Cricetulus griseus: one gene and its partners. The protein of the gene in region 1 interacts with the protein of each later gene in a biochemical or structural test. Links are inferred from orthologs where the notes say so. Each region holds a gene or a part of one and is shown in the gene's direction. Other genes may lie near its edges. The genes, in order: Smad3, Wwp2, Tgfbr1, Ski, Smurf2, Zfyve9 and Lef1.

Region 1 (4,395 bases):
TATGCACCTGTGAGAAGAGCTTTTGTTTTGCAAATTGTGTCAAAGCTGCCCTTTGCGAGGCTAGGCCCAGGAGCAATACCTCAAAAACAAAAGCAAAACAAAACAAAAACCTGGGTTTAAATCCTGGCTCTGTTCCTTGGGGTCATGCCTCCCAGGCAAATATGGGCGTGGACTTTGAGGGCAGCAATTAGACTGTCTTAGGTTGAAGACAGCAGTTAAGACCGCCTCCATTTCAGTCTCTTGGTAAGGGCTGGGAAGCCGAGTGGAAGGGGAGGCTACAGCCACACTCCAACAGGAGTGCAGGACCTAGCTTGTTAGGGTCCACTGGGCCTCAAGAATCAATCCTCCTCCTTTCAGGACTTGGCTTCAGGGAGGTGGAAGGAGACACCTAGGAAACCACAGCCTCTTGACAAGCTGTGGCTGGCGATGGGGCACCCTCGGTGACAGAGCTGGGGGCCCCTGAAGCTTCTGGGCTGACTTTGTGGGACTGGCCACACTTCATAGGTCTTTGTAACTCCCACCGGCTCTTGGTTTGCAAATAACTTCTTTCTCACCACCGTCGGTGGTGGTGGGGTTTCCCACTGTTTAAAACAAGCATAGTCCTATACCTACTGAGTTAACCCGATGGGATTGCAGCCGCAGGGTAAAGGAGCTGAGAGCCTGCTGTAACGCCTCCAAGCCCGTGAAAGGACCATGGGCAGCCAGCCCCGAATTCCGATAGTTGGGCCCCAGGGCTACCCAAAGTCAGGTTCTCTTGGTGTCCTACCTAGGCTAACTTTGAGTAAACTTCGTTCCACTTTGTATGTGCGAGTTCACTGCTTTGTAAACAAAGCTCTCTTGCTTGTTTGGCGTCGAATTTCAGTAACACCCAGCAATGTTAATTCTTCCCCTCCCCCAAAGATAAATCCTAAAGCGCTCCCATTCATTCCTTAAGGAATGCAACAGATGTCTTTGAGGCCCGTTTTCTGCAAAGAGCTTGGTTCACTAGGCCCAAGGGACCCCAGGCTCCAGCTATTGTTCAAGTTGTCACTGAGGTCTCTAACTCCACTTTTAAGTCTCCCTCTCCCCCTTCCCAACTCCCTCCTCCGCAGTCTCCGGGCAGTCAGTCGGTCTGATCTCACCCAGCGGGAAAACAAAAACAAAACAAAACAAAAAACACCAAACCAAAGGAAAACAGCCGGGGCCAGTGAGCGAGATCAGTGCTCCCCGGCTTCCTGGGCTTGGAACTGAACCCCTCTTCTTGTCCCAGTACTCTCCAGGGAGCAGCGAACCCTAGGGGTCCCGCGCCTGTTCCGGCGAGTCTAACACTCTCTAGTCCCTGCAACTGCATCTGAGCGTCTTGAGGGCGGCGAGTCCCCAAGAGTCTGGTCCCGCGGCCGCCGTGCCCGGTGGCCCACGTGGGCGCGCTTGGCGGCGCTGGGCGGGGAAGGCCGCGGGTCCTCCCCGGAGCTGAGCGCGGGGGAGGAGCGGGGAGCCCGAGCGGCGAGGGGGCGGCGACAGCGCTGGGAAGAAGCCTGCACGCGGAGCTGCGTGAAACGTAGACTTGGGAGCGGGCGGGAGAGGAGCGGGGAGCGCCGCTGCACGGCCCTGGCCGGCCCTGCGAGGCGGCGATCAGCGGGGAGGAGGAGGAACAGGAGGAGGAGGACTGCAGAGGCGGAGGGATCTGCTCACCAGAGTCATCCAGGCCAGCAAAGTTTGGCTGGGGGTTGGACTTTCCTTCCCGGAGGCGGCACCCAAACAGCTACCCCGTGCGGAAACCCAAACTTTCTACTGCCACTCGGAGTCTCAGCGGCCACCGCCTCCGCCCCGCGCGCCCGGGGCCTGCCCGTCAGTCCGTCGGTCCTCGTGGAGCTACTCAGGCGCCACCGTGCTCCCGATCCCCGCAGCTGGAGTGCCGCGGCCCCGGCCCGGACGCCGGGGCAAGTTCTCCAGAGTTAGACGCGAAGTTCGGGCGCGGCGCAGGCCGAGCTGCCCCTGTGCGCCCCCGGCGTCCCCAGTGCGCCCAGTCCCGCCGGGGGCGCCGGTGACCCTCCCGTGCCAGCCATGTCGTCCATCCTGCCCTTCACCCCTCCGATCGTGAAGCGCCTGCTGGGCTGGAAGAAGGGCGAGCAGAATGGGCAGGAGGAGAAATGGTGCGAGAAGGCGGTCAAGAGCTTGGTGAAGAAGCTCAAGAAGACGGGGCAGCTGGACGAGCTGGAGAAGGCCATCACCACACAGAACGTGAACACCAAGTGCATTACCATCCCCAGGTGGGGGCCGGGAGCGACGGGGGGCGCGCCGGCCCAGCCCTCTAGGGCGGCCAGGGTGGAGAGGGGAGGGCGTGTGCGTGTGTGTGCGCTCTAGTGTTGGGGACAGGCAGTGGGTGGAGGGACCCCAAACAAAACCTTCTTCGGATTTGTCCAGGCTCAGAGCCCAGGCTTCCATGCGGCACTCTGGCTTCCAGACCTCAAGGATCCCTAGCCGCCTGTGGGCAGCAGGGGTGCTGCTGAGCTTGGCCCCCCACTCTCTGGGCTTTGGGCTCCAAGTAGAGGCCCCGCTTTGTTCGGCTCTGCCGGCCGAGCCCCTCCTCCGCCGCCGCCTCCCGCCCCGCGCTCGTGGAGGTGGTGGCGTGTGTCCCTTTCTTTTCTTCAGCTCTGTTCCCCCACTTCTTTTCCTCGTCTACAGGAATGCAGTCGGTACAGCTGTGGGTGAGGAGCGGGAGCCCGTTGATTGACAGATTCCTTCTTCGCTCTTTCTTTGCCTTGGGATTAGCATTTTTATCGAGTATTTTTAGATTTGGTTGTGCCAGCCTCCCGCCCCCTGTGCACGCATGCACGCACGCACTTAGTTGCAGAGCAAAGCACCGACTTTGAAGCGGGAGAAACAAGTGGCAGAAAGTACGGTCATTCCCTCTTCCCACCCCACGCCTGCCTGGTATGCCTTCATTTTAATTGAGAGTTTGCGGGTGCCTAGAACCGAGCAGGCAGCTCCAGACAGATAACAAAACATCCCAGAGCTGGCCTCCCTCTGTCCCTGCATTCCTGTAGAGACCTCTTTTCCCAAAACGCTTTGCCATCTGTCCTGACCTCCTTTATCCTTCCCATCGGGCTAGAGGAGTCCGGCGGGAGCTCACAGATGGCTGATGGAAGGGGTCAGTGACTTCACTCCCAGGGCCTCCCAGAGCATAACTGCGCCTGGGATGAGGGCACTTTAGCCTTCTGTCTCCACTTCTCAAGACATCTTTAAAGATTGATTCCAGAGGAGGGCAGGTGCGGATGTTGCGGGGTGGGGGTGGTGGTGGGAGGTGGTGGTGTCCCAAGCTGCAGAGGAATGGAGAGAGAGCTCCCAGGGCCTAAGATAGAGAGGTCATCATTCTTCCGGGCCAGGGTGGCCTCCATCCTTGGCCACCTGCTCAAGGCAGCTGTGTGTATGCTGCCAGCCCTAACAGTAAGGCGCAAAGCAGCATCTGTCCACAGGAGCCCAGGGTCGGCCTTCCCTGGAAATAAACACCACAGACGGTAGGGATGCCTGCTTAAAAAAAATAGCCAAAAAACAAAACCAAAAACAACCAACCCCCAAACCTGGTTGGGATCAATAAAGGGGGAGGCGAAGGCAGTTGTCTGGGAAGAATGCTTGGCCTGTGAGCCTCTGCCAACTGGCTTTAGGGGGGTGCTGTGACGTGATGGTCACAGGCACCTGGGTTTTAGCTCCTGCTCTGGCTCCTCATTCTTCTTTATCCTTTTGACGAAGTGGAGTGGCTGAGTCTCAGGTCTCTGTCAGATCCGGAGAAATAGCCTTTTCCTAATACGCCTGGGTGCAGCCACACTGAATACTTTATGTTTTGAACCCCCTCAAGTGATATCAATTATGAAGCAGCTGGGCAGAGTGTTTCACAATTTACAAGGCACTGTCATAGGCCTGATGAAGGCCTGGAAAACAGAACAGGCAGCGAGGTCTAAAATGATCTTGCCTTTCAACCAGACAGACCTTCACAGGAGATAGGGAAAAACCTAAGACTGGGGCTAGCATACCCTTTCTCCCAGACTGTTGTGGACTCTGAGAGCCCAAAGCATCCTTATCCAGGGAGGGTGGTGGATCTCTGCCTGGAAGGTTCTTGGTTCATCTTTGGGCTGGGGTCAGCTTAGAGGAGAGACTGTGCCTTCCTTGGCCTACATTTGCCTTCTGATCTTGCTTTCACTTGCAGCCCTTCCCAGTCCCAGGCAGGTGAAGGTTTGTGTGCTTCTGAGAGTTCAGGCTAACCACCTCCACTTCACCCAGGTCTTCCAGGACTAGGCATCTTCAGACTGCACAAAGAAGGTGGTGGGTGGGAGCAGGGTTTTTGTTGGTTGGTTCTTTGGTTGTACTGAGGATTGAACCCAGGGCTCACATTTTAGGTGAGCATTCTGCTACTGAGCT
Region 2 (3,059 bases), on another chromosome or scaffold:
TGTTGATGTCCATATTCCCTTCTCTAGAATGCCAAGGGACCTAAGGCTCTGACACTAAATATGGCCATTCCCATCATCTGGAAGTTCTTGGCTAAATCCTGGCAATGGCTCTAAAAGCGGCCACATTCTTCCTGGGGCTAGAGACCTGCCTGGCCCAGCAGCAGACAACGACAGACCAGTGAGACTCTTAGACTATTACTCACCACTGGCTGCCAGCTCTCGCCAGCCTCAGTGTCTGCATTATTTTTGGCCTCTTGTGCTACCCACTCAGAGTGCCAGTGAGTCAGGGCTGCCACCTGGAGCTGTTATGAACAACTTTTCCCTGGTAGTGGGGGACAGGCCTTTGCTAGAAGGGGGAGTGGCCTGGCCAGTGTGCTGGGCAGACAGTGGGCCTGCTTTGCTTGTCCCTATGACTTTCAGGATGGGATAAGTCTATCCCTATGCCCAAGTCAGAAAAAAGGTGCTTGTTTCCCAGGCCCCCCCTTCAGCTAGGGCAGCTGGCTTTCAAGGGGTATCCTCTCGGGGAGGGCAGCTGACACCCAAAGCACTCCTGATCTGCCCCAGGTGCCATCCAGGGAAGTGAAACCCTTTCTCTGTGCCTCTTCCTTGCCCAGGCTCTGTACCATGGGAAGTTCATCGACACAGGCTTCACCCTTCCTTTCTACAAGCGGATGCTCAACAAGAGACCAACTCTGAAGGACCTAGAGTCTATTGACCCTGAGTTCTACAACTCCATTGTCTGGATCAAGTGAGTCCTGGCTTGCCCTGCTCTGATGGAGCCAGGCTCTGATTGGCCAGTTGGCACCCTGACCCTGATTTCCTCTACCATCATCGTCGGAGATTCCTGGGTACTTACCTGGCCTATAGAGATAAGAGTTTCTAAGTCCCTTATAATACAGTTCTAGAATTCTCTCTCTGCAGCAGAAAATGTGCCAAGCCACTGTGCCTGGCCACCTGTGAGTTCGCAGTGCCTCTTGGGTGCCTTAGTAAGGGGCAGGTCAAGGGTGGACCTTGATAAGATGGACATCTTCCCCCTTGGTCTCCTGTGTCCCAGAGAGAACAACCTAGAAGAGTGTGGCCTGGAGCTGTTCTTCATCCAGGACATGGAGATCCTGGGCAAGGTGACAACCCATGAGCTGAAGGAAGGTGGTGAGAGCATCCGAGTTACAGAAGAGAACAAGGAAGAGTACATCATGTGAGCCTCAGGCCTGGGGGAGGGGAGCATGTTACAGAGAAAGGGAATCTACCCTTGTTTTTGTACCTTCTTTGATCAGGCACCACTATGGGGCCCATAGTCTCCACAAACTGCAACAGTATCCTAGGTGCATTGGCCTTGGCTGGTCACATGATTTGAGCTGTGGACCTGGAGCCTCTGGCCTTGGTTACCAGCTCCAGGTTGATCTTTCTATGTTCAAGAGACTTCCCAACTTCAAGGAACTTTTTAAAGAAATAAAAAGCTTAGATGTTGCGGTTTCTCCTGACGGAGGATTTCTGTGTCCAATGTATTTTAGTCTTCCGGCCCTCCAGTGCTGATGTGTAAGCCTTCCACTCACACTCTTTAGGCTGGCTGGTCTATTCCATTAAACCATACAGTTGTGTGAGTCTGAGGCTCAGCGGTTAAAACAGTGCACCAAGCAGGGTGGCCTGGGCTCCATCAGTGGCTTATCTTTGGTTTTAGGTTGCTGACTGACTGGCGATTCACTCGAGGTGTGGAAGAGCAGACCAAAGCCTTTCTGGATGGCTTCAATGAGGTGGCCCCTCTGGAGTGGTTGCGATATTTTGATGAGAAAGAGCTGGAGGTGGGTGCCAAAAGTTGTGGGCCCTTGACTTCAGTGCTTCTAGGCTGCTCCAGATCCATGCTGTGTACCCACAAAAAGTTACCCACCAAGCCCCAAACTTCAGCAAGCTAGAGGCAGCAGTGCAGCTAGTGTCACCTGACCTCAGCCCTATTTCCCTGTGCTTAGAGAGCAGGGGCATTAACATTTCTGAAAAAAGTAGCAGGTTGACAAAGTTTAGGAGTGACCTACTGGTGAGAGGAGGCAGTACCATGTGGGCATGAAGCAGTGCCAGGGGAGGGCTTGATGCAGGCTTGCTGACATATCCCTCCCTACAGCTCATGCTCTGCGGCATGCAGGAAATAGACATGAACGACTGGCAGAAGAATGCCATCTACCGGCACTACACCAAGAGTAGCAAGCAGATCCAGTGGTTCTGGCAGGTGCGTCCTGGGCTCTGTGTCTCCCCTGTTAGCCTGGGGTCAAGGGTCTTGCCAGGGATAGTTCCCAGTTACCCAAAGGACATGAGACCTACCTAGACACCAGACATAAGAACCTTTCATCTTTGATCCATTCCTCCCCGTCCCTACTTGGAAAAGTAGAGGATAAACCTATCTCTAGTCGGGATAGAGGTTGTTGTGTCTATATTGTTTCCAGCTTATGTGACAGAGGTTGTTAGTGTGCTGGGAGCCAAGGGGACTCACGTCCAGGAAGTTCAGCTATGATTGGCTGTGTGGTCTCCTCCAGTCAGATGGGGTGAGAAATGAAGGCACATGTGTCTAGAAAAATGGAGAGCATGCATGGGAAAAGATAGCTACAAACATCCTTACATGTGTATGTGTGTGTGTGTGTTTTATGTAAAGTTTTTGTGAAGGTGTACTTCACATGGCATGCAATTCACCATTTCAGATATTTCAAGGTGTCCAGTTCAGTGACTTTAGCTCTTTGAGTGTGCTGTGCAATTAACAGCATTATTCAACTCCAATACAGTTCATTGCTCCCCAAACAAATCCTTTTTCCCACTCTCAACCTTAGAGTGTCTGTAAAAGCAGAATGTGGGGGAAGGGCGAAGGATGTCAGGCCCAGGGTGTCCCTGAGACCAAGCAGTGTCCCTGGACCCTTGTGGGATGTTCCTGATTCGTATCTGTCTTCCCTGCCCAGTGTGGCCCCACCAGGCCTGGAGATGTCCCTGCTAAGTTCTGAAGTGCTAGGCTAAGGGCACCCCTGATTCCTTGTGAAATTGTAGGTAGTGAAGGAGATGGACAATGAAAAGAGGATCCGGCT
Region 3 (3,840 bases), on another chromosome or scaffold:
TGTGAATATAATACGTATTCAAAACTTGAAACCTAACTGGAAATGTGTAGCTTTTAAAAATTTGAATGGTTTTCCAATGAAAATCTCAGAAGTCTGGAGATTTACTTAGAGATCAACAAACAAACAACTTTTTCACCTTAGTTTTTTAGTTCTTAGATTTATATTGTCTGAAGGTTTAAACAAAACTTCATCCCTTTTGACACAGTGATTCACTGAGGTTAGTAGTAGTTCTTATAGTTGTTATAGTTGATGTAGCTCAAGTGCCTTCATCCTGGGACAGGCTAAGCTTTGAGATCTAAAAGTAAATTGTGATTGGTGTCACTTGTTAAGCAGTCATGTCTAACTTTTGGTTTCCAATAGGAAAGCCAGCTATTGCTCACAGAGATTTGAAATCAAAGAATATCTTGGTGAAGAAGAATGGAACCTGTTGTATTGCAGACTTGGGATTGGCTGTGAGACATGATTCTGCCACAGATACAATTGATATTGCTCCAAACCATAGAGTAGGCACTAAAAGGTACACTTAGGAATCAATGGTGTTTAGTAATGCCTTATGTCAACTTCTTTTCTTTCCTATCTCTTCAGAAACTCAAACTTGGTCCTTTATTAGACTGTTGACACGCTTTTAGAGTCTTTGCTACTTTGAAACCTCGTTACCTAACTTAAAAATGAACCTGTTGATAGAGCAACCCTTCTAGAAAGTATTATCATTAACTAGGTTAATTGTAAGAGCAATAATGTCTTAGTTAGGGTTTCTATTGCTGTGAAGAGACACCATGACCACAGAAACTCTTATAAAGGAAAATATTTAATTGTGATGGTTCGCTTACAGTTCAGAGGTTCAGTCCATTATTTTCATGATGGGACATAGTGGTGTACAGGCAGACATGGTGCTAGAGATTTACATCTTGATATACAGACAGTAATAAGTGGTCTGTTTCACTGGGTATGGCTCGAGCATATATGAGAACTTAAAGCCCTCCTCACAGTGACACACGTCTCCAACAAGACCACATCAACTCCAACAAGGCTATACAACCTAATAGTGCCATTCCTTTTAGGGGTCATTTTCTGTCAAACTACCACAAATAATAACTAATAGTCATCTATAACTTGCTATAGTTTCTACTGTAGTAAGCCTGTTTTCATATTTTCTGTTGTCTTTCTTCCTTAGAACGTTTGTGTATGCTGCCCTTAAAACATACATCCCCCTTAATAGCACTCCTGACTCAAGGAAGCCTTTTTTGGTCCCCAGGACCCTTACATGTTCCTGGCATAGCACAATGATAAATGACTATTTGAGGGAGGCATTTACTTAACTGTTCTCACATTATATTCTAACTGACCATTTATGTGTCTGGGTCTGTGTATTCCATTGGATTGCAAGAAGCTTAAGAGCAGTTTTATGTTCCAGGTACTTGTTGAAATGCCAAATACACTTTTATATTTGCATTCATGCGTTCTCAAAAGAACTTCCATAGATAGGTGTCGTTACTATTAATTCAACCACCTTGTTGGTTAAATAAAGTAACCCACTTCATGTGGCTGACAAGCTGATATGGACTCAAAGTCTTACTGTGTTTAAAAAGCACTCACAACCTTTCTTCACAGCTAATGTCTTGAACTTGGAGAAAGCCAGCAGCTTTAGTCAATCCAAATATAATTACACTTTCTGGGTTCCAGGGGGACTGGCTGAGGGAGCCTCAGTAGTGGTCTGAAGGACCTGTAGCTGTAGTAGGATTTTAGAAACTATAGAGCTGGGCAGTGGTGGTGCACAACTTGATTTCCTGTACTTGGAGGGCAGAGGCAGGCCGACTTCTGAGTTTGAAGCCAGCCTGGTCTACAGAGAAACAGGACAGCCAAGGATACACAGAGAAACCCTGTCTCCAAAAACAAACAAACAAAAAAGAAACAAACTTCAGAACCCAGTAATTGGTAATGTAGCATCATCATGACTGACATTCCTTTTATCTGTTTGTCCCTTTCTTCTTTCCTGTTTTTTTTTTTTTTTTTTCTGTTTTGGTGAGGAGGCTTCCAGATTAAAATATGTAGTCCCTAAATAGTAGATGAGGGTGATGTACATTAGGGTATTGGTAACAGCCACAGCTGTTCAGTGTGTGCCTTTTATAAACCTTCATCAGAAGGCAGATGGCATGGAGCTGCCATTTCAGCATTTCATGAGATTTAGTCAACATCATTAATTTGCAAACCAGTTTAGATACTTAATATTTGCTTGAGCCTGATATGATCTCAGTTATGTGATAGTTTTGTGCATGTTTAAGGAGGTCTGACCCATGTTAACACTTGTGGTAAGGGGGTGATTTTTTTTTCACCTTGTACTTTATATACTTGGGAAGTTTTTTTTTTTTTTAATAGGAAGAGTGAATCATTTTTAAAAACAGAACTATAATAAAAAGAGAAGTTTTCTTGGTGTGATAGTGTACACCTTTAATCCAGACCCTTGGGAAGCAGAGGTAGGTGTTTTTTTTAGCAGCTTAGTATATATAGTAACTTTTCACGGGGGCTTCATAGTGAGACCCCATGTGTCTTTTTACCAGAAGTAAAAGACAGTGTATGAGACAGTAATTAATATGTTTTGTAGTGGACTGAAATGCTGGCTTCTTTTTTAGGTACATGGCCCCTGAAGTCCTAGATGATTCCATAAACATGAAACACTTTGAATCCTTCAAACGTGCTGACATCTATGCAATGGGCTTAGTGTTCTGGGAAATTGCTCGGCGCTGTTCCATTGGTGGTAAATCGCTCTCCTTTCCCCAGTTATCTGTCATGAGAAATTAGTCAAGAGTTTTCTTTTCTCTTGACTGAAATTTTACTGTCAGCAGTCTGACAGGTGACCACTGAGAATGTCACAGGAACAAAAGATAAACCTCACCAACACACAGCTTTTATCCAGAGTCATGTTCTGTTGCTATTTAGTCTCAGAGAGTGTCAGAACCTAGCTTCTTGTTATTTTGGATTTAGTTGTTTGAAAGGCCACCTGAGAAATTGCTTTTAGTATGGACTCAGCTACATCTTTTTTTTTTTTTTTTTTAACACTGGTTGTTTTCTCCAGCTTGATTGTTGAGGATCCTTAGACATATAATGACAATTGCATTATTAATGTTGCGTACTTTGTAGATTTTGTTTTAACTTTTGGTTTTATATTAGACTGAGAACTTGTCAGTGTTTGCTCAGACACTGTCTCTTAGGCTTAGGAATCTGTGTGAGACTTAGAACTTGAAAGTTTGAGACAGTGATGTATAGAGTATGCTTGGTGTTATAGCATAGGACATCAGATTAACAGGCACAAGCAGAGGAAGGGACTTGTGGGATTCACATCTCCTAATAAGAGTATATCCGCATCTTCTGTCTGGTGGAGTTGTAGTCAAGAGTGTCAGCCTGGTTATCACAGCACACTAGGTTCAAAATGGCCTTGATTTCTTTTCCATTGCTGTAGTACAATGCTCCGGCAAAGGCATTCTAAGGGAGGAAGGGCCCGTGGTTCCAAGTTACAGCTACCATAGAGGGAAGTCACAGTGGCAGAAGCTTGAGGGAGCTGGTCACATGACATCCACAGTCAAGCAGCAGAGAGCAGTGAGTGCATGCTGGTGCTCGGCTTGCTTTCTCTATTTATACACTCCAGGATCCCTTGCCTATGAAGTAGTACTGCCCATAGTTAAGATGTGTCCTCCCAATCAAAATAATCCCTCACAGGCATGCCCACGGGTCTGTCTTCCAGGTGATTGGTAGATTTTGTCAAGTTGACAACACTATCCTTCACAAAAATTGCAAGCCCAGTGATGACTCAAGTAGGTGGGTTATTGATGCAGATGTGGGTGA
Region 4 (4,386 bases), on another chromosome or scaffold:
CACCTGGATTTTTTTTTTTTTTCTCTCTCTCGTATCTTCTCATCATAAGGACAGCCTGTCCTGAGTATTTCGTGGTGTCCTTATGCAGGGACCTGGAATGCATGCTGTGGTGTCCTTATCATAGGGGGCCAGGCACTTCGGTCGTGTGGAGACGCTAGGGTGCTTTGAGACGCTCTTGTATCCAGACCCCAATGTTTTGTGGCATCCTTGTCATGAGGGGGCACCTGGGGTCCTTTTTATGAGTGCAAACTCTGGGGTGTCGCGTGGCGTCCCGGTCCTGTAGAGAACGACGCCCAGCAGTATGGGGAGTGGAGGCTATTTCCCAGTTATCTCCGTAGAATGGGGACCCCGGGACCTAAGGAGGCAGCGGCGCAGATCTACTGCGGACCGCCACTCAGCTGGTCTGCGGTTGTGGCAGGGGCCTTGTGGGTTTCGGGGCCCCAAGACCGTGGTGTCAGCAGGACCGGAGACTTCCCAGCCGCGCAGGAAGCGGCCTCGGCCGGAAGGGGGGCCCCAGGCGCCTCGCTGCAGCCGCCTCCAGCGGCCTTCACAAGGCGGGGCCGAGCGGGACCGAGTAGGGCCGAGTGGGGCCGAGCGGGGCCGAGCGGGGCCGAGCGGGGCCGAGCTCCGGCCCGGGGGACCCGAGCGGAGTCGAACTGTGGGCGGACGGAGCCGAGCTTGGCCGAGTACGGGCCGGGCGTAGCCGAGCGCCACCGAGCCCGGGAGGGGGAGCGCGCGTTCTTGGAAGAGCCGGCCCGAAGCTGGTCACATTCCTGGCCCTCACTCCGGCTGAGGCGGACGCACAGCAACAAACAACGCGGGAGGCGGGGCCGGCGCGGGCGGGGCGGGGGTACGGGGCGGGGCGCGCGGCGGCGTGAGCTCAGCTCCCGGCGCTCAGTCCGAGCCGGAGCGAGCCGCCCGAAAGATGTGCGCCGAGCGCGCCGAGCCCCGCGCCGCCGCCGCGCTCTGAGCCGCGGGCTAGAGCGCCTCCGCCGCCCCGGGGCCGGCGCGCGCGGGCGCGGGCGGCCGGGAGCCGGGCGGCCGCGCGGGCGGGCAGGCGGCGGGGGCCAGCGGCGGGCGCGACGCGGCCGGCCAGCACCGCGGGACGAGCCCGAGGGCGCCGCGCGGTGGGAGGAGCGGGGCAGCGCGGCCGCGCCGCGCGAGGACGGCCCGGCGGGCCCCGCGCCCGCGCCCCCGCTCTCCCCGGCCCCTCGGCTCGGCCGCCGCGGCGATTCGCGCCTCGCGGCCGGCACCTGCCGCGCGCGCCCCGCGAGCGCCCGGGCCGCGAGCGTTGGCGTTGGCGTTGGCGGCGCGCGCCGGGGCATGCCGCGCCTAGAGCCGCGGGGGGCGCGCGGGGGGCCGGGGCGGCGGCGGCGGCGGCGCGGCGCGGGGCGCGTGATGTGGCGCCGGGCCCGGGTGGCGGCGGGCTCCAGCGGCGGGACCCCTTCGCCCGCCCGCCTTCGCCTTCGCGCGCCCCGGGCGAGGCCGAGGCCGGGGCCGTGATCGGCCGTGAGCCGGCGACGGGGGGCGTCGGGGCCGCGGTCGCGGTCGGCGGCGGGGTGCGCGGGGCGGCGGCGAGGCCGTGGGGGCCCGGGCGCACGGGAGCGGCCCGGGGAGCCCGATCGCACCATGGAAGCGGCGGCGGCCGGCCGGGGCGGCTTCCAGCCGCACCCGGGGTTGCAGAAGACGTTGGAGCAGTTCCACCTGAGCTCCATGAGCTCGCTGGGCGGCCCGGCCGCTTTCTCGGCGCGCTGGGCGCAGGAGGCCTACAAGAAGGAGAGCGCCAAGGAGGCGGGCGCGGCCACGGTGCCGGCGCCGGTGCCCACTGCCGCGGAGCCGCCGCCCGTGCTGCACCTGCCTGCCATCCAGCCGCCGCCGCCCGTACTGCCCGGGCCCTTCTTCATGCCGTCGGATCGCTCCACCGAGCGCTGTGAGACCGTGCTGGAAGGGGAGACCATCTCTTGTTTCGTAGTGGGAGGCGAGAAGCGTCTGTGCTTGCCGCAGATCCTCAACTCGGTGCTGCGCGACTTCTCACTGCAGCAGATCAACTCGGTGTGCGATGAGCTGCACATCTACTGCTCGCGCTGCACCGCCGACCAGCTGGAGATCCTCAAAGTCATGGGCATCCTGCCCTTCTCCGCGCCCTCGTGCGGGCTCATCACCAAGACGGACGCCGAGCGCCTGTGTAACGCGCTGCTCTACGGCGGCGCCTACCCGCCGCCTTGCAAGAAGGAGCTGGCGGCCAGCCTGGCGCTGGGCCTGGAGCTCAGCGAGCGCAGCGTCCGCGTGTACCACGAGTGCTTCGGCAAGTGCAAGGGGCTGCTGGTGCCCGAGCTGTACAGCAGTCCTAGCGCCGCCTGCATCCAGTGCCTCGACTGCCGCCTCATGTACCCGCCGCACAAGTTCGTGGTACACTCGCACAAGGCCCTGGAGAACCGGACCTGCCACTGGGGCTTCGACTCAGCCAACTGGCGGGCCTACATCCTGCTGAGCCAGGACTACACAGGCAAGGAGGAGCAGGCCCGCCTTGGCCGCTGCCTGGACGACGTGAAGGAGAAGTTCGACTATGCCAACAAGTACAAGCGGAGGGTGCCCCGGGTAAGTGTCTCCAGGTCTTGGGGGTTGGCAAGCCATTTGTCCAAGGAGGGGAGGCGGTGGTCCTCTTGGGCTGGGCACTCTGGCTTCTAAATGTTGGGGCACCTGGTTCGACCTTATTTGGCTTTGGGTTGTTTTGATTTCAGGAAATTAGGGGCCTAGTTAGTCTCCTGTGGGTAAGGCCATAAGGCCGCCTTGGTGCTGTCTGAGCACTGTAGAGTGAATGGAAAAAAGCCCTCTCAGGACACATAGCCCTTGACCACATAGGCTACGCTCTGAAGGTCTGAGAAAGGCTGCCTCAAGCTCTGGGAGCTTGGACTTCCTGAAGAGAAAGAACCCAGGCTATGACTTTATGGCCCAGATCTCCATGGGATCTTGACAGATGAGAATGAAGTTTGCCCCCTTTTTTTCTGATGACAGGGATGTCTTCTTGTGGTTTCCAGCTGATACGCCTTGTATGTTTACTGGCTCTCTTGTTTTGTGTTTAAATCATGGGGCAAAGACACTAAAATGAAGCTAGCTAGTTGTCCTGGCAGAGACTTGGCACTTGCAGCCCCTAGAGTCTCCTGTTGGTGCACCTTGAGGACCACTTGGCCTGGTCAATGGTAGCAGAGTCTTGCTTCTCTGACTCAGAGTTGCTGATAGTATGCAGTTTCTTTAGACTCACCCATTTCCTTCTGTTGCTCTTGCACTTGGTGTGGAGGCCTGCCTGCCTAGGCTGTGCCGTGTGTGCGTCACGGGCTTTGTGGGATCTTCTTGGCATGACCCTGGCCACTTAGTACCAAAACCTTTCACTGGGGTCCAGAGGAAGTTTCTTTGCATATGCATCCTAAGTATCTGTAACTTTTAAATATCCCTGCTTATTAAATTGCACACACAGAATGCTGCATTGGCTCAGCTATTCTTGGGAGACCTAATTAATTCAGCTATTGCATCAAACTTTTTTTTTTTTTTCTAAATCTGTGAATAGATGCTGCAGCCCGGTTTTCTCTGGGCGCCCCTCCAGCAGAGTGTCAGAATCGTGGGGGGAAGGGGCTCTGAAGAAGGACCGTTGCCTAATTCTTTGGGGGCTGCAGAGAGTGTGCACATACTGTGTGTCCTATGGCACTTTTGCCCCAGCTAGGGCAGTGCATGATGGCAGGCGGTTGCAGGCGGGTCTTTTCAAGTGGACTTGGCAGTAGGCAGGCTGATGTGGGTCCTACCAGTGGAGGCCTATCTGGGCTGTCTGCACCCTTGTCAGCTAATGTAGCCTGAGGTAGTCATTTGAATATAGCGACTGGTGGACTTGCTGGGGCTACTGTAGAGATGTGGGACTAGTGAGGATGAGCCACTGGGAAGCATTCACACCTCTTATCTTGGGAGCAGGCAAGGAGTCTTGTCTGAGTTGGGTGTGTCTGTGTTTGTGTTTGTCTGCTTTGGGTCATGTGTGTTTGTGGTCTTTCTATCCAGGTTTAGGGGACTGCCATGGTCCCTTTGTCCCGGCCACTATTGAATGGAGTAGACTTCTGCCTTCTCTGTTTACAAGCTTGGTGATTCTGGTGTGGGGTCTTTGGGCTCAGAGGAGGTGGCTCAGATGCTCGTGCCAGCACTATGGGGTTAGAAGACAGGATAGTGCACTGAGCCATGGTCATGTGCCTGGGTCGTTTCCGCCGTGGTTTGTAGCTGCCCTTCCCTTGATAGCCACCCTGGCAATGGTCTGACGCCTCATCTGCTGAGTGAAGAGACATTTCTCGAGTGATTTGTGTCTCCAGCACCACTGAAGCAGTGGTGGCATCAGCTTGGGTTCCTATA
Region 5 (4,267 bases), on another chromosome or scaffold:
TAACTGATAGAACAGTGTTTGGCCCCTACACAGAATACAAGGGAATTGATGTAACTAAAACAGTGTACATATATATTTTCATTTTTAAGTTGGAGAAAATAATTCATAGAAATAATGATTTAAAGCTGGGTGGTAATGGCTCATGCCTTTAATGCCAGCACTCTGGATGCAGAGGCAGGCAGCTCTCTGTGAGTTTCAGGTCAACCTGGTCTACAAAGTGAGTTCCAGGACAGCCAGGGCCACACAGAGAAACCCTGTCTTAAAAAAACAAAACAAAACAAAACATAAAACCACCACCAACAAAATAAACTGGTTTGAAATTCATAGCTGAGTGGCTGGAGAGGTGATTCAGTGGTTAAGAGCACTTGATGCTCTTTTCAAGGACTCCAGTGTGGTCCAAACTGGGAGACTCAAAAGGACGTGTAACTTCATCTCCAGCAGAATCCAATGCCCTCTTCTATAACTCTGCATGCACTTGCATGCACACATGTATAGCACATATACACATAATGAAAATGAATAAATCTAAGAAATTATGTGTAGTGAAATACTTTCAAGTAGTTCTCCAAAATGTATGTATGTGTTTAGATTTGTATTTGATACTTTTGCTTATTACAAAGTCCTATATTATCTTTTTCTTTTTTTAGAGATAGGGCCTTATGTAGACCATGTTACCCCAAACTTTTTATGTAGACTTAAACTTCAGTTCCTTCAGTCTTGGTCTCTCTAGTTCTGTGGATAGACATATACTACCGCACCTCGTTTATGTGGTGCTGGGGATGGAATCCAGGGCCCTGAATGTGCTACACAGGCTTCTGTCAATAGAGCTATAGTCTAAGCTCCTGTAATAACATGTGGCAATTCTAAACTGCTGCTGTCATGTGTCAGTGGTAAGGAATGGTGCACAGAAGCATATTTTTTGGAGCCTGGGCCAGCTTGTTGGGATTTCATTTAGAGGTGTTAAACTGGACTTCCATGTTAACTTTTTACAGTGCCAACGTAAGTTTGAAGAACGTGCAGAAAAATATGTTGGCTAAAATATTCTCTGTAACTTTTGAGTTACAGGAACAGTATTGTGAAAGTTTGTTTGTTTGGGAGCAAAGAAAAGAAGGATATCTGACTATCTCCCTCTACCCCCTTTGAACAGCTTCATTCCAGTGTGCATTGTAATTGGAATGCAACTGCAGTCTGGAGGAGGAAGGGGAATTTTTGGCAAGGATATAATGAGCAGTTGGGAGCTTTATTGAAATTAAGCACAGACAACCATTCATTATGAGTACAACTTACGAGAACAGCAGGGCATTCCATTCTGTTACCATTCTGTTACTACCGCTGGGCATTGCACTGATACTATTACAGATGCTTGTTGCAGGTAGGCAACTTCTTTCTAATAAAAAAAGAAACTAGTGACTTAACCCACAGTGTGGTAGCCGCCCTTCCACAAGTGTTTTTTCCAGTTACTACTTCAAATACATATAAAAAGATTTTTGTTGTTATTTTTGGAAAAAATTTAAAAACATTTCTTGCAAAAATAACAGAAGACATTTGTAGCCAATGTAGTGGCCTATTCCTATGATCCCAGCACTCAGGAATTTGAAGCAGGTTTATAAAAACCTGGATCTTGGTTTATAAAAAAAATATTTATTTTACTTTATGTATATGTGTGCATGTGTTGAGTGTGTGTGTGTGTGTGTGTGTGTGTGTGTGTGTGTGTGTGTGTGTAGGTATGTATGTATAGTGTGTATATGTAGAAAGCCTAGAGAGGTCAGAAAAGAGCATCAGATTTCCTGGAACTGGAGTTCAAGTAGTTATGAGGCACCTTGTGGATGATGCTGGGAACTGAATTCTGGTGCTCTGCAGGACCAGAGAGGTGCACTTATCCGCTGGTTCATTTCTCCAATCCCTAGATCTTGATTTTGAGCACAGCAGGGTTACATAAAAGGATTCTAATTTCTCCCTCAAAAAAAAAAAGGTATTTATGGTATGATAATTGAGTTGTATCTTTATCTGCAGAACCTATGATAGTACTTGGCATAAAGTGAGTACTCAGGAAATGTCAAATGAAAGAATGAAACTAGGCCTTGTGGCGCATGCCTTTAATGTTAGTACTCAGGAGGCAGAGGCAGGTAGATCTCTGAGTTTGAGGCCAGCCTAGTTTGTATGAGGAGTTAGAGGCCAGCCAAGGCAACTCAGTGAGACTGTCTCAGTAAAAAAGAATTGATTATTAATTGGTTTATTCTGTTCTCTATAAGCATATCAAGAAGGTTATACCCCTATCCATGTGAAATGTAGAGACATTATTAGCATACTATTCTATTAGTTACTTAAATCATAGCTGGGGCAGGGGCAACTTAAAGGAGGAAGGATTATTTTGGCTCTTGGTTTCTGAGATGTCAGTCTCAACATTGTATGAGGACTTAGTACAGCAGAGAAGCTCACATCATGGTGGGCCAGGAAGCAGAGCACAGGGACGGGGCATTTTGGTGGCTTTTCTTTTTTACCGCCAGTGTTCTAAGCTCATGGATTGATGCCAGCCACATCTAGTTTGATCTTTCTCCTTAATGAGTCCTCTCTAGAAACCATCTCACAAACATATACAGGTGTGCCCCACCTACTCCTAGGTAACTCTAAACCCAATAAAATTCACAATGGCGATTAACTATCATACAACTTTCCTTAATTTGGTTACCTTATTATTTCTTTAGAGGAGGTAGATGGACTAGCTAGAACAACTTTGGGAAGTACAGATTTAAGAATAGAAACACTTTGAGGAATTTGAGATGAATATTAAACATTATCAAAGTACTATAGCAGATTTAATCTGTATGCAGCTCTAGGCTCATTAGAGACATTGTCTCTAATGGACTTCAGTGGTAGTACTATAGTATTAATATGCTACATTTGTAGCTATCATTGATTAAAATTAGCACATAATTGCATAATATCTGAAGCTAGTGCAATGTGTTAATTAAAATTAGTGAAAATTTAATCAATCAGCATTTCTGTGTCCTTTGTTTATATTATTCCAATAAGAAGTTTACTAAATGTTAAAGATGGATAGGAGTAAGTCTGAACTATTGGCCCTCTCCTGCTATGTCACTCTTAACATTGTGTGTAAATGTCTCTCTTGAGAAACATTTAGAAAACAAGAATTAAACAGTCTTGGTTATATTTTACATAGTTCTGTTACCAAAAAATGATAGATTAAAAACATATATACAAATTCCTCAGAAACATACTTCCTTAGGCAAAGGTTGCATAATAATAGTTGCATAATCAGGAGTTTGTCATATTGAAATTCATGAATTCTTTGAACGGTTATGGAGTAATTCTCCCATAATTAATGTACTGAAGATGGAAAAAGCCAGAGAGCTGTGGTTCTAATCTCTGAAGTAGATTTTCAAGAAACAAGAGCAGTACAATGAAGACTAGAGAGTATGAAAATAATTTACTTATACAAGTGAATAAAATTACCATTTTCAGATCACATATTGATAATCCTCCCTTTCAGAGTTACAAATATAAGATGTTGCTTTGAAAGCATTAAACAGTATATATAAAAAGCACTTACAAAAAATCAGTTGGGGGGGGCTGGAGAGATGGCTTATCGGTTAAGAGCACTGACTGCTTTTCAAGAGGTCCTGAGTTCAATTCCCAGCAACCACATGGTGGCTCACAACCACCTTGAATGAGATCTGGTGCTCTATGATGGCATGCAGGCAGAAGACTGTATACATAATAAATAAATAAAATCTTAAAAAAAAAATCAGTTGGGGGCTGGAGGGATGGCTCTTCTGTTACTAGTGAGTCCTGAGGACCTGAATCTAGTTCCTAGTACCCACATTTGGTGGCCCAAGATTGCATGTATCTTGAGCTCCCATGGATCCAACACTCTTTAGGCCTCCATGGACACCTATTGCATGTGATGCCATAAACTCATGCAGACACACAATACACAAACAAATAAATAAAAAACATTTTAAAGCTATTTGAAGCTGATGAGATTTAGTCCCAGGAATAATAATCTGGGGCTGAGGAGAAGGCTAAAGTTGGTAAGTGCTTGCTATGTCAGCATAATAATCAGAGTTTGGATTCCTGGCACTTTAGGGGAAAAAAAAAAAAAAAAAAAACAACAACAAAAAACAGGCACAGCACACTAACCTGTAATCTTAGTTCTGGGAACTAAGCCCTAGAAATACTAGGGCTTACTGGTGTCAGCTAGTCTAGCCACATAAGTGTGCTCCATGTCCACCAAAAAATAAGGTGG
Region 6 (4,488 bases), on another chromosome or scaffold:
TGCTCAATTATTTCTTGAACAGTTCCTAAAGTCCTTATGTAATTTTCTCATGATTTGTTACTATTATGCCATAATCTAAGGTAAGGCAAGATTGCTTATAATATTTTTATGCAGAAAATGTAGTGATTCTATTTTGATACCTGCTGTGCAATAGAATGTCAAAGGATCCAGTATATTAGGCTCTCTTCTTTAGAGGAGGATTATATAAGTGCACTAGTGAAATTCAGAGAAATTTCACTCAGACAAGGGATGGTGAAAATGACCTTTGATGAGGAACACACACACACACACACACACACACACACACACACGGTAGGGGGAGTGAGGTGGGACAAACAAAAACAAGCTGGAGATTAAGAATGACTAAGTGTTAGGATGTTTTGGAATTAACAAAAATTGGAACCATAGGCCAGTCCTTTCATCCCTAACCTTCACAACCAGCTAGGCAGGCAGAAGAAAACAGGTTCAAAATATTACATAACTTTCCAGGGTCATAAAACTATACATGATGTAACTGGGACCAGTGGTATCAGGCTCTGCTTGGCACCAAAGTCTTTGCTTTTTCTAGTATTGCACTCAGAAGAAACAAACAAACAAACAAAAACACCGTACTTGGGAATTTGGGGGACCAAGGGCTTTAGGAATTTATTTCTTTCCCCATTTCTCTTCTGACAGTCTTTTGCTTTTGGTTGTGACATTAGTGCCCTAGAAGCTGGGCAAAATCAAACAGGAGGCATTTGTAAACAAAATTATTGCATAGCCCTCCATATACCCACAATGTCCCTCTTCCAGAGTCTTACCTAGGATTTGGTTAAGGGGTGGGTGGTGGTGAAGTGGTAGAGTAGAGGTGGTGGCCAGGGCTAGGTTATTAAAAGGATGGTTCTTTTCTTACCTTTAAGTTGTTTATCAATTTCAGGACAACACGTTGCTTATTCTCTTCTCTTGGGTCAGCGTTTTATTTATTCTCTATTTTCGGGAGGAAGGTTAGGGGTTAAGGGATTCTGTAGCAAATTTCTGTAATGAATCTGCACAGTAGCCCCCCAAAAGTTAAGATTAAAGATCATTCCTTTATCTGTTTTGGGAAGGGATTTTGCATGTGCTTAGAAAAAGATAAAAGGAAGATTTGTTCTGGGTCACTCTCCTTTCATGCCAACGCACTGAGGGGATTAAAAGGAACCCCCTGTCTTCCATGAGAAATGAACCGAGATTCCCTCACGTTCCCGCTCTCGGGTGCGGGTCCGAGTGACAAGAGCATTCACATACCTTCCGGAGGGAAGAAAGGTGCTGGGGTCTGACGGGGGTGGGGTGGGGGTGGGCCGACAGCTTCCGGCTCCCGGGAAGCCGCGTTAGGGCGGGCCGCGGGCGCGGGCGGCGCAGGGCGCACGGGGCCCAGCCACCCGTAGGCCGCGCTGCCTTGCGTTCCCTGCCGCCGTACTCGCGCGGCCGCCGCCGCAGTCCCGGCGCCGTAGGGACGTGGGTCCAGGGGCGCTGTGGCCCGGCGGCGCGGGAGCTGGAGCGGCCACCGCGGCGCCCGAGGCTTCGCCGAGCCCGTCTGCCTGCAGCGCCTCCGTCGTCCCGCCGTCGCCTGCGCCCCCGGACGCGCTCGACCGCGCTCCCCCGGACCCGCGTGGCTGAGGCGGCCCCGGAGCCGATGCGGCTGGAGGGGCGCCGGGCCTCGGCCTCCGCCGCAGCGACCGCAGCCCCCTCAGGAGTGCGAGGCTTCGCGGCGGAGCCCTGCTGAGGAGGAGGAGGCTTGCGGCTCAGGGACGACCCCCTGGCCATGGAGAGGCGGTGAGTGTGGCGCGCCGCGGTGCGGTGCGGTGCGGGGCTCGCCGGCTTGCGTCGCTCAGGGGCCCTGGCGCCAGCTCTCGGGCCGGGCGGACGGAGCGTCCTGGCACTGCGGCCGCCGCGGGCACCCCGCAGCCCTGGGGCCTCGGCCCTTTTTCCAAGGGTCCCCCGGGAGGCTGGAGGCGCGCGGGGGACGACTAGGCCCGGTGCTGCGGAGAAGCCCTTGCCCGGGCCTGGGTTCCGGCGCGGCCGGGTATGTGAAGACCGGGCTGGCGGCCGCACCGGTGCCCTTCGCGTTTGTCCCGGGCGGGGCCGAGCGTGCCTTCCTTCCCAGGGCCCTGCTTGCACATCCCGGAGGGAGGGAAGGGACGCTTGTTTGCAAACAGCTTTGGCTTCTCTGCGGCATACCGAGTCCTGCAGAGCCACCCCCTGGGTGGGGAGTGGTGAGTATTGAGGTGCAGAGAGTGCGGGTCCCCGGAGCCCCTGATACTCCAGGAGTAGCATTCACGCCTCTCCTCCTAGAGACACAGCGTTTTGCGTCTTATTTGAGGTGAAATTTCATCACTTGCCGCTAGCTCCTCATTTCCTTCTTATGTTACATCTTGTCTCTGAGCGAGGTCTGCCTTGGAGAAAGCCCCATCCCATCTTTGCCATGCTAAGTTTCCTAGCTAAGCACTCACAGTTCAAAGAAAAAAAAAAAAAAACCTTTTATGAATATGTCTTCTCCCACCTTCAAAGAGACAGGAAATGTTTTAATGCTTCAGTCCTTGGTACAAAAATGTTCCACCTAAATAAGGAACGATTGGCAAGAGAATTTTAAGTCGAGCTAATTATCCTAATAACAAGGACCTGACGAAAATGGGGTAGAGACTCAATTGTAAAAGGAAAATGATTTGTTCTGGTAGTAATGTAAAAGAAATTAGTGTTTGTAGTGTGATACCACAAGTCAGTATTGGGGTGGTGCTTGTTTAGGATAAATGTGATTACAGGTTATTCTTATTCTCCTATTATATAGGGCTTATATGTACATCTAGAACTTTGATTCATGAAAATATACTGTATATATAGTAAATTATTTGGACACAGAGAGGTTCTGTATCGGCGTTCAGTACTTATTTAATAACTAGAGAGCGATTACTGATAACGTCATAGTACGTTTTGATGGTCATTCAAAGTTTAAAGTGAGATCGTGGTGATGGTGACTTGTAAAATTATTATTGGTCTTAAATGAAAAATGCTGACTGGTCCAATTTACAACCAGGCATTTGTTTAAAAAATATGAAATATGTTACTAATTACCGGAGTTAAAGCCATTAGTTAACATGGGTTGTTACTTGTAAGACTCCTGACTTAACTTTCCTATACAGCATGGGAATCTCCAGAGGTCTAAGGAGGTTCAGTGTGGTGAAGAATTTTGAGGATCCCTTATGTTAGGTGTTGTAGCTTTGCCTTTGTCAGATCTTGTGTAAGCATTTCTAACTGTAAAAAGTTGGATTGATTAGATATTTTGGTTAATTTAGGTCTTAAAAGTCGAATTCTTTTCTCATTGTGTCTCTGAAGACCAATATTAGAATCAGTTGGGAGTGCTGATTAAAAATTCGATTCCTGGTCCCCTACATCAGAATTGTGGGTATAACAGTAACTCAAAGATTGTGATTTTTATCAACCTTCCTGATTCTTAGTACTACTAAATGTGAACATTACTGATAAAAGTTAAAAGAGATTTGCTTAGGTGAACAAAAGTACCAGCTTTCTAGCAAAACTATCTTCAGTGGCTTACAGATGTTTTGCATAGCAACAGTTAATGGTTTTATAATGCAGATAGAAAAACTGTGTTTTGAGGGACAGCTGTTTCAGTCCACAAACGTCGAGAGCCTGTTACAGTAATGTTAAGGCTATCAGAGCATTCATCTTGGCAATTAATAAATTTCAGTATTGTCTGTAAAATGCAGTTGGTATACTTAATTTGGAAGGTTTTAGGAGACAGCATTTGAACAAAGTATTGTAATATATAAAAATTTTATACAATTTTAGCTATTAGTAATGTCAGGTTCTGTCTTAGGTGTTCTGGGAAATACAAAAATTACAAGGCTTCTGATAGCAATTAGCTAATTGTGGAAGCAGTACAAGTTTAATTAACTGTTACAAGACAGGGTCAGAAAGTTGTTGTAATTGAGTAAAATGAGCTAGATCTCTCTCTGCTCAGGGTTTCTGTGTCTCATCCAGTATCTTGCCCTTCAAGGGATGGGAGGTCACTTGGTGGAAGAGGACTTGCTTAGAATGTACAAGCCTCTCGGTTTAATTCCCAGAATTGAGAAAAAAATTCATATGTAGTATTCCTTTCTTTTGCAATTCCTGATTCAGTGTTTTCTTTAAAGAAATAATGGCATATGTTGCCTGGAAAGCACTAGTTTTATATTAACTCCTTAGTGAAGAAAGAAAAAATGAATGAGTAGGGGTGGTCCCATTTCTTCCTCTGTTGCTAAGCTACCATTTTTATTCCATGCACTAGAGTTTATTGGCTACTCTTATGTGCTGGCCACAGATTGGCTGGTTGCAAGGTACAAAACTTGATTAAAAGATTATTGCCAAGCCAGGTGTTGGTGGCGCACGCCTTTAGTCCCAGCAGTTGGGAGGCAGAGGCAGGCTGATCTCTGAGTTTGAGGCCAGCCTGGTCTACAAGAGCTAGTTCCAGGACAG
Region 7 (3,840 bases), on another chromosome or scaffold:
CGGCATCCCTCATCCAGCTATTGTAACGCCTCAGGTCAAACAGGAGCACCCCCACACTGACAGCGACCTAATGCACGTGTAAGTAGACCCCGCCCCCTCTTCTGTTGTGAGATTCCATGTAGCTCAGCCTGGAAGGCTCTGAGAACAGGGGCTTGATTCTGAGACTGGAAAGGACTATCCGAGTAACAGTTGATGGACACTCACCAGGATGGAGCCCTGGTCTAGATGTAGAGGGATTGTGATCTGTAGACCACTTACCACCCCAGACTTTCCTTTAATGAAGGACAGAGTGGTGCTCGGTGCACATCATTCTGGAAATGCAATTGCCCAGGTTGGAATTCAAGAAAAAGTGGTCATCGAAATCAACACAGAATTCAAGAAAAGGTGGTCATCGACATCAACACAGAATTCAAGAAAAAGTGGTCATCGACATCAGATTCCCTATTGGGCCAGCATTGGCTCAAACTTGTAGAGCCAGGCTATATTACCTTGTTATGGAGGAATTAGAAACTCTGCCTCTTAAGTCTGTGGATGACAAGGGCAAGGCAAGCAATGTATAACAGCCCATAAAGATCTTGAAAATATATTCAAATGAAATTAATTTGGTGAGAAGGGTCAAAATCTCACTGGGGCTAGGGAGCCAGGTCAGTTGTAAGGAGCTTGTCTTGCATGAGTGAGGACTTGAGTTTGAACCCTAGTATCCTTGTAAAAAAGCCAGGTGTAGTGGCACATGTCTGTAACCCCTGCACCAAGGAGGCAGAGACAAGAGGAACCCTGGGGCCAGTGTGGTCCCTAGGCCAGTGAAACACCCTTTCTAAACAAGCAAACAACCAAGATGGATGTCAACTGAGAATCAACACCCAAGGTTGTCCTCTGATATACTGTCAATCACACACACACACACACACACCCCACGCACGTGTGCTTGGTGGGAGGGGCTGGGGGAAAGTGCTTGCTTTTCTCAGTGTCCTTTAATCCCCATCCCCCAAAGTAAACATCCATTGCAGTAGAAAGGGAATGCTTACCTGTAGTTTGTGTGCAGCTTCTTTGGAGGTGACCAAGGGCCTCAGCTTTGGGGCTCTAGTTGGAGCTTTCTCAGAGTGAAGGAGATTTAATTCAGGGTCATTGTGTAAACGAAGAACCCTGTGGTTTGATTGTTTGCAACTTGGGTTTTCATCAGAGGAGCCACACGCTGTTGTTGGTGTCCCAGGGGCTGGGAAGGGTCATCCTCACATTGAATTTGGCAGTGTGAACAGATGTTCTCTCCCGTCTCTTCCCTAACCACCGCCACCTTTCAGGAAGCCCCAGCATGAACAGAGAAAGGAGCAGGAGCCAAAAAGACCTCACATTAAGAAGCCTCTGAACGCTTTCATGTTATACATGAAGGAAATGAGGGCAAATGTCGTAGCCGAGTGCACGCTAAAGGAGAGCGCAGCTATCAACCAGATCCTGGGCAGAAGGGTAAGGAACGGGATGCGGGAACGGTTATGGCAACCATGGCACGGCTTCATTAAAGTGTGCTGAGACTAGTTACACGTCAGGTGGTGTGTGTGTGTGTGTGTGTGTGTGTGTGTGTGTGTGTGTGTGTGTGTGCGTGCACACATGCGCAATTTTGTTTCTGGGAAGTAGGGCACAAGGTACACTGATCGGTGTGTTATAAACCATTTTGACTATGCCTGGGACATAGGAAACTTCCAGGAACTGATAACTGCTTTTGCCACCACTCTGTATGTCAAGTATCTTTATTTGTCTGTGATGATGCTTGGTAACAGTTGCTGAACAAAACAGCCACATCCCTTGCTTTCTTGGAGTATGGTGTTTTGTGGCCAGATATAGATATTAGCAAAAAAAAAAAAAAAAAAAAGAAGAAAAGAAGAAGAAGAAGAAGAAGAAGAAGAAGAAGAAGAAGAAGAAGAAGAAGAAGAAGAAGAAGAAGAAGAAGAAGAAACTAAACTTGGTAGTAAATACAGTGGTTGTGATTAGCAGGAATATGCAAGAGAATCACAGAGGCCAGCAAAGGCCCTTCTGAGGACATTGAACTTACGATGAGACCTGAGGGACATAGCCCTTAGGGGATAGATGTCCCCAACTGGAGTAGTGTGGGGAGAGGGGTGAGGATTGGCAGCCAGTCTCCACAGAAGGAGCTATAGTAGGGCTTCTGGGAGACCAGCCCAGAGGAGAGAGGAAGCCTCACCTTCCCAAACAGAAGCAGAGCTGTAGGGACTGGAGAAGTCATGGTTGTTGTTGTGGTGGTTGTTGCTGTTTTTTAAGACAGGGTTTCTTTGTGTAGCTTTGGAGCCTGTCCTAGAACTTGCAGAGATTCGCCTGCCTCTGCCTCCTGAGTTCTGGAATTCATTCTCCCATTAAAGCCCACAAGTGCTGTTTCTGGGTTGTTCTTTTCCCTTGCATCCCTCCATTAGTCCATGCTGTTACAGTTCCTCACCCCTTGTCATATAGGGAGACGCTAGACTATAACCAGGGTTTGGGAACTCTTAAAATTCCTTCTCCGACAGCTTTCCGAAAGACTAGCCATTCCTTCCAACCGCTTTCCCACAGGATGGAAGAGGTCTTAGCCAGGTATCTGCAGAGCAGTAGGGCAAACTCAAGTTCATCCAATTCAAAAGTTACCTTTTTGCTGACACTGCATTACAATTTATTAGGAATGCTTCATTTTTATGTACCAGTCCCCCCTGTGTGTGCTCTGTTTAGTTTATGCCCCTGTATATGTGTTTTTGACTTTTTTGTTGTTGTTTTGTTTTGTTTTAAGTTCAAACAAGGTAAGGAGGCTCTAGCCACCTCTGGGAAGCATAGAGAGGATTGTGTGTTAGCTGCCATTGATGACACAGTAATGTTCTCCCTACTCAATCCATTAAACATTCATAAAGGCATTTAGGAGGCCGGCAGCCAACACAGAACACAGAAGCAGGCCTTGAGTTATGGACTCCCAGTGGAGAGCCTCAACCCGTTGCTAGTTCCAATCTGTGAGACACAGAGCACTCGAAGCCTGGGCACAGTGGCAGATTATACTCTGTGGTGTTCTGTGTGCAATGCCCTATCTCCCTATGGATTCTTAAACACTTAATAATGATAATTACAGTGATTCCCAAGCCAGATCTCAGCGCAGGAGTGATCCCACCAGCTTCGAAGGGCTCTACCTTAAAAGCCTGAAGGCTGGTGACCACTTTCTCCAGCAGAGGCAAAGAGGGATTGAAGTTTTGGGTTTTTTGTTTTTGTTTTTGTTTCTTGTTTTTTTAATTCCAGCTCACATACCTCTCTTAGCTTTTTCCTTTTTTTTTTTTTTTTTTTTTTTTTGCCTTTGAGTCAGATGTCCCCTGGCCCCGCAGCAGGAATTATTTTCCTGCTCAAGAGGGTGAGGATATGATCTTTGAGGTATGCTTCCTCCTTTTAATGCACATTTCCAACAATTGCTACTTTCTCGGCTCCCTGAACGGTCCCCAGACCCAAGCATGTGTGTCTTAGGGATGGTTCTCATTTGGGGTCTCTCTCTGTCTTTGATTTGGACACCTGTTTCTATTTATAGGCCTCTGGATCTTTGATTAGGATCAGGTTTTCTGCCCTTTGAGCACTCCCTCTGGTGGGGCCTCGCTTCTCGGCTCTTTTAAAGTTCTGGCTTTAAAAATCATGAAGTTTTACACTGGCGTGATTACACTGCTTGAAAGTGGATCTTAAATCCACCCCGGAACATTTTATCTTTTGATTTTTTTTTAAAATTCATCTGTACTGTCTCTAAAATAGAAATGCCCATTCCTATGGATGAATCAAAGTTTTCTTAATATGTATCATAAATATCAATGGCCCAAATCTTATTTAAAATAAACT

What was found.
Region 2: of the proteins of Smad3 (region 1) and Wwp2, one has a biochemical effect on the other in vitro, tested with the Homo sapiens proteins (2 studies listed by BioGRID). The link is inferred for Cricetulus griseus from reciprocal best matches to the Homo sapiens genes SMAD3 and WWP2.
Region 3: the proteins of Smad3 (region 1) and Tgfbr1 form a complex in vitro, tested with the Homo sapiens proteins (2 studies listed by BioGRID, with this or other methods). The link is inferred for Cricetulus griseus from reciprocal best matches to the Homo sapiens genes SMAD3 and TGFBR1.
Region 4: the proteins of Smad3 (region 1) and Ski form a complex in vitro, tested with the Homo sapiens proteins (8 studies listed by BioGRID and IntAct). The link is inferred for Cricetulus griseus from reciprocal best matches to the Homo sapiens genes SMAD3 and SKI.
Region 5: the proteins of Smad3 (region 1) and Smurf2 form a complex in vitro, tested with the Homo sapiens proteins (2 studies listed by BioGRID and IntAct, with this or other methods). The link is inferred for Cricetulus griseus from reciprocal best matches to the Homo sapiens genes SMAD3 and SMURF2.
Region 6: the proteins of Smad3 (region 1) and Zfyve9 form a complex in vitro, tested with the Homo sapiens proteins (2 studies listed by BioGRID and IntAct, with this or other methods). The link is inferred for Cricetulus griseus from reciprocal best matches to the Homo sapiens genes SMAD3 and ZFYVE9.
Region 7: the proteins of Smad3 (region 1) and Lef1 form a complex in vitro, tested with the Homo sapiens proteins (2 studies listed by BioGRID, with this or other methods). The link is inferred for Cricetulus griseus from reciprocal best matches to the Homo sapiens genes SMAD3 and LEF1.

Annotation. Positions count from the first base shown.
Region 1 is NC_048597.1:175,281,494-175,285,888, reverse strand, and holds the start of Smad3 (mothers against decapentaplegic homolog 3), read left to right. Parts: upstream 1-1,543; 5' UTR 1,544-2,043; coding exon 2,044-2,249; intron 2,250-4,395. UniProt on the Homo sapiens protein: Receptor-regulated SMAD (R-SMAD) that is an intracellular signal transducer and transcriptional modulator activated by TGF-beta (transforming growth factor) and activin type 1 receptor kinases.
Region 2 is NC_048596.1:183,884,771-183,887,829, forward strand, and holds part of Wwp2 (NEDD4-like E3 ubiquitin-protein ligase WWP2), read left to right. Parts: intron 1-614; coding exon 615-748; intron 749-1,054; coding exon 1,055-1,195; intron 1,196-1,678; coding exon 1,679-1,799; intron 1,800-2,113; coding exon 2,114-2,218; intron 2,219-3,021; coding exon 3,022-3,059. UniProt on the Homo sapiens protein: E3 ubiquitin-protein ligase which accepts ubiquitin from an E2 ubiquitin-conjugating enzyme in the form of a thioester and then directly transfers the ubiquitin to targeted substrates.
Region 3 is NC_048595.1:96,014,202-96,018,041, reverse strand, and holds part of Tgfbr1 (TGF-beta receptor type-1), read left to right. Parts: intron 1-360; coding exon 361-517; intron 518-2,630; coding exon 2,631-2,755; intron 2,756-3,840. UniProt on the Homo sapiens protein: Transmembrane serine/threonine kinase forming with the TGF-beta type II serine/threonine kinase receptor, TGFBR2, the non-promiscuous receptor for the TGF-beta cytokines TGFB1, TGFB2 and TGFB3.
Region 4 is NC_048595.1:1,092,151-1,096,536, forward strand, and holds the start of Ski (ski oncogene), read left to right. Parts: upstream 1-1,431; 5' UTR 1,432-1,629; coding exon 1,630-2,598; intron 2,599-4,386. UniProt on the Homo sapiens protein: May play a role in terminal differentiation of skeletal muscle cells but not in the determination of cells to the myogenic lineage. Functions as a repressor of TGF-beta signaling.
Region 5 is NC_048600.1:119,827,347-119,831,613, reverse strand, and holds the start of Smurf2 (E3 ubiquitin-protein ligase SMURF2), read left to right. Parts: upstream 1-1,257; 5' UTR 1,258-1,272; coding exon 1,273-1,372; intron 1,373-4,267. UniProt on the Homo sapiens protein: E3 ubiquitin-protein ligase which accepts ubiquitin from an E2 ubiquitin-conjugating enzyme in the form of a thioester and then directly transfers the ubiquitin to targeted substrates.
Region 6 is NC_048595.1:41,016,882-41,021,369, forward strand, and holds the start of Zfyve9 (zinc finger FYVE domain-containing protein 9), read left to right. Parts: upstream 1-1,661; 5' UTR 1,662-1,791; intron 1,792-4,488. UniProt on the Homo sapiens protein: Early endosomal protein that functions to recruit SMAD2/SMAD3 to intracellular membranes and to the TGF-beta receptor.
Region 7 is NW_023276806.1:27,723,394-27,727,233, reverse strand, and holds part of Lef1 (lymphoid enhancer-binding factor 1), read left to right. Parts: coding exon 1-78; intron 79-1,298; coding exon 1,299-1,461; intron 1,462-3,840. UniProt on the Homo sapiens protein: Transcription factor that binds DNA in a sequence-specific manner. Participates in the Wnt signaling pathway. Activates transcription of target genes in the presence of CTNNB1 and EP300.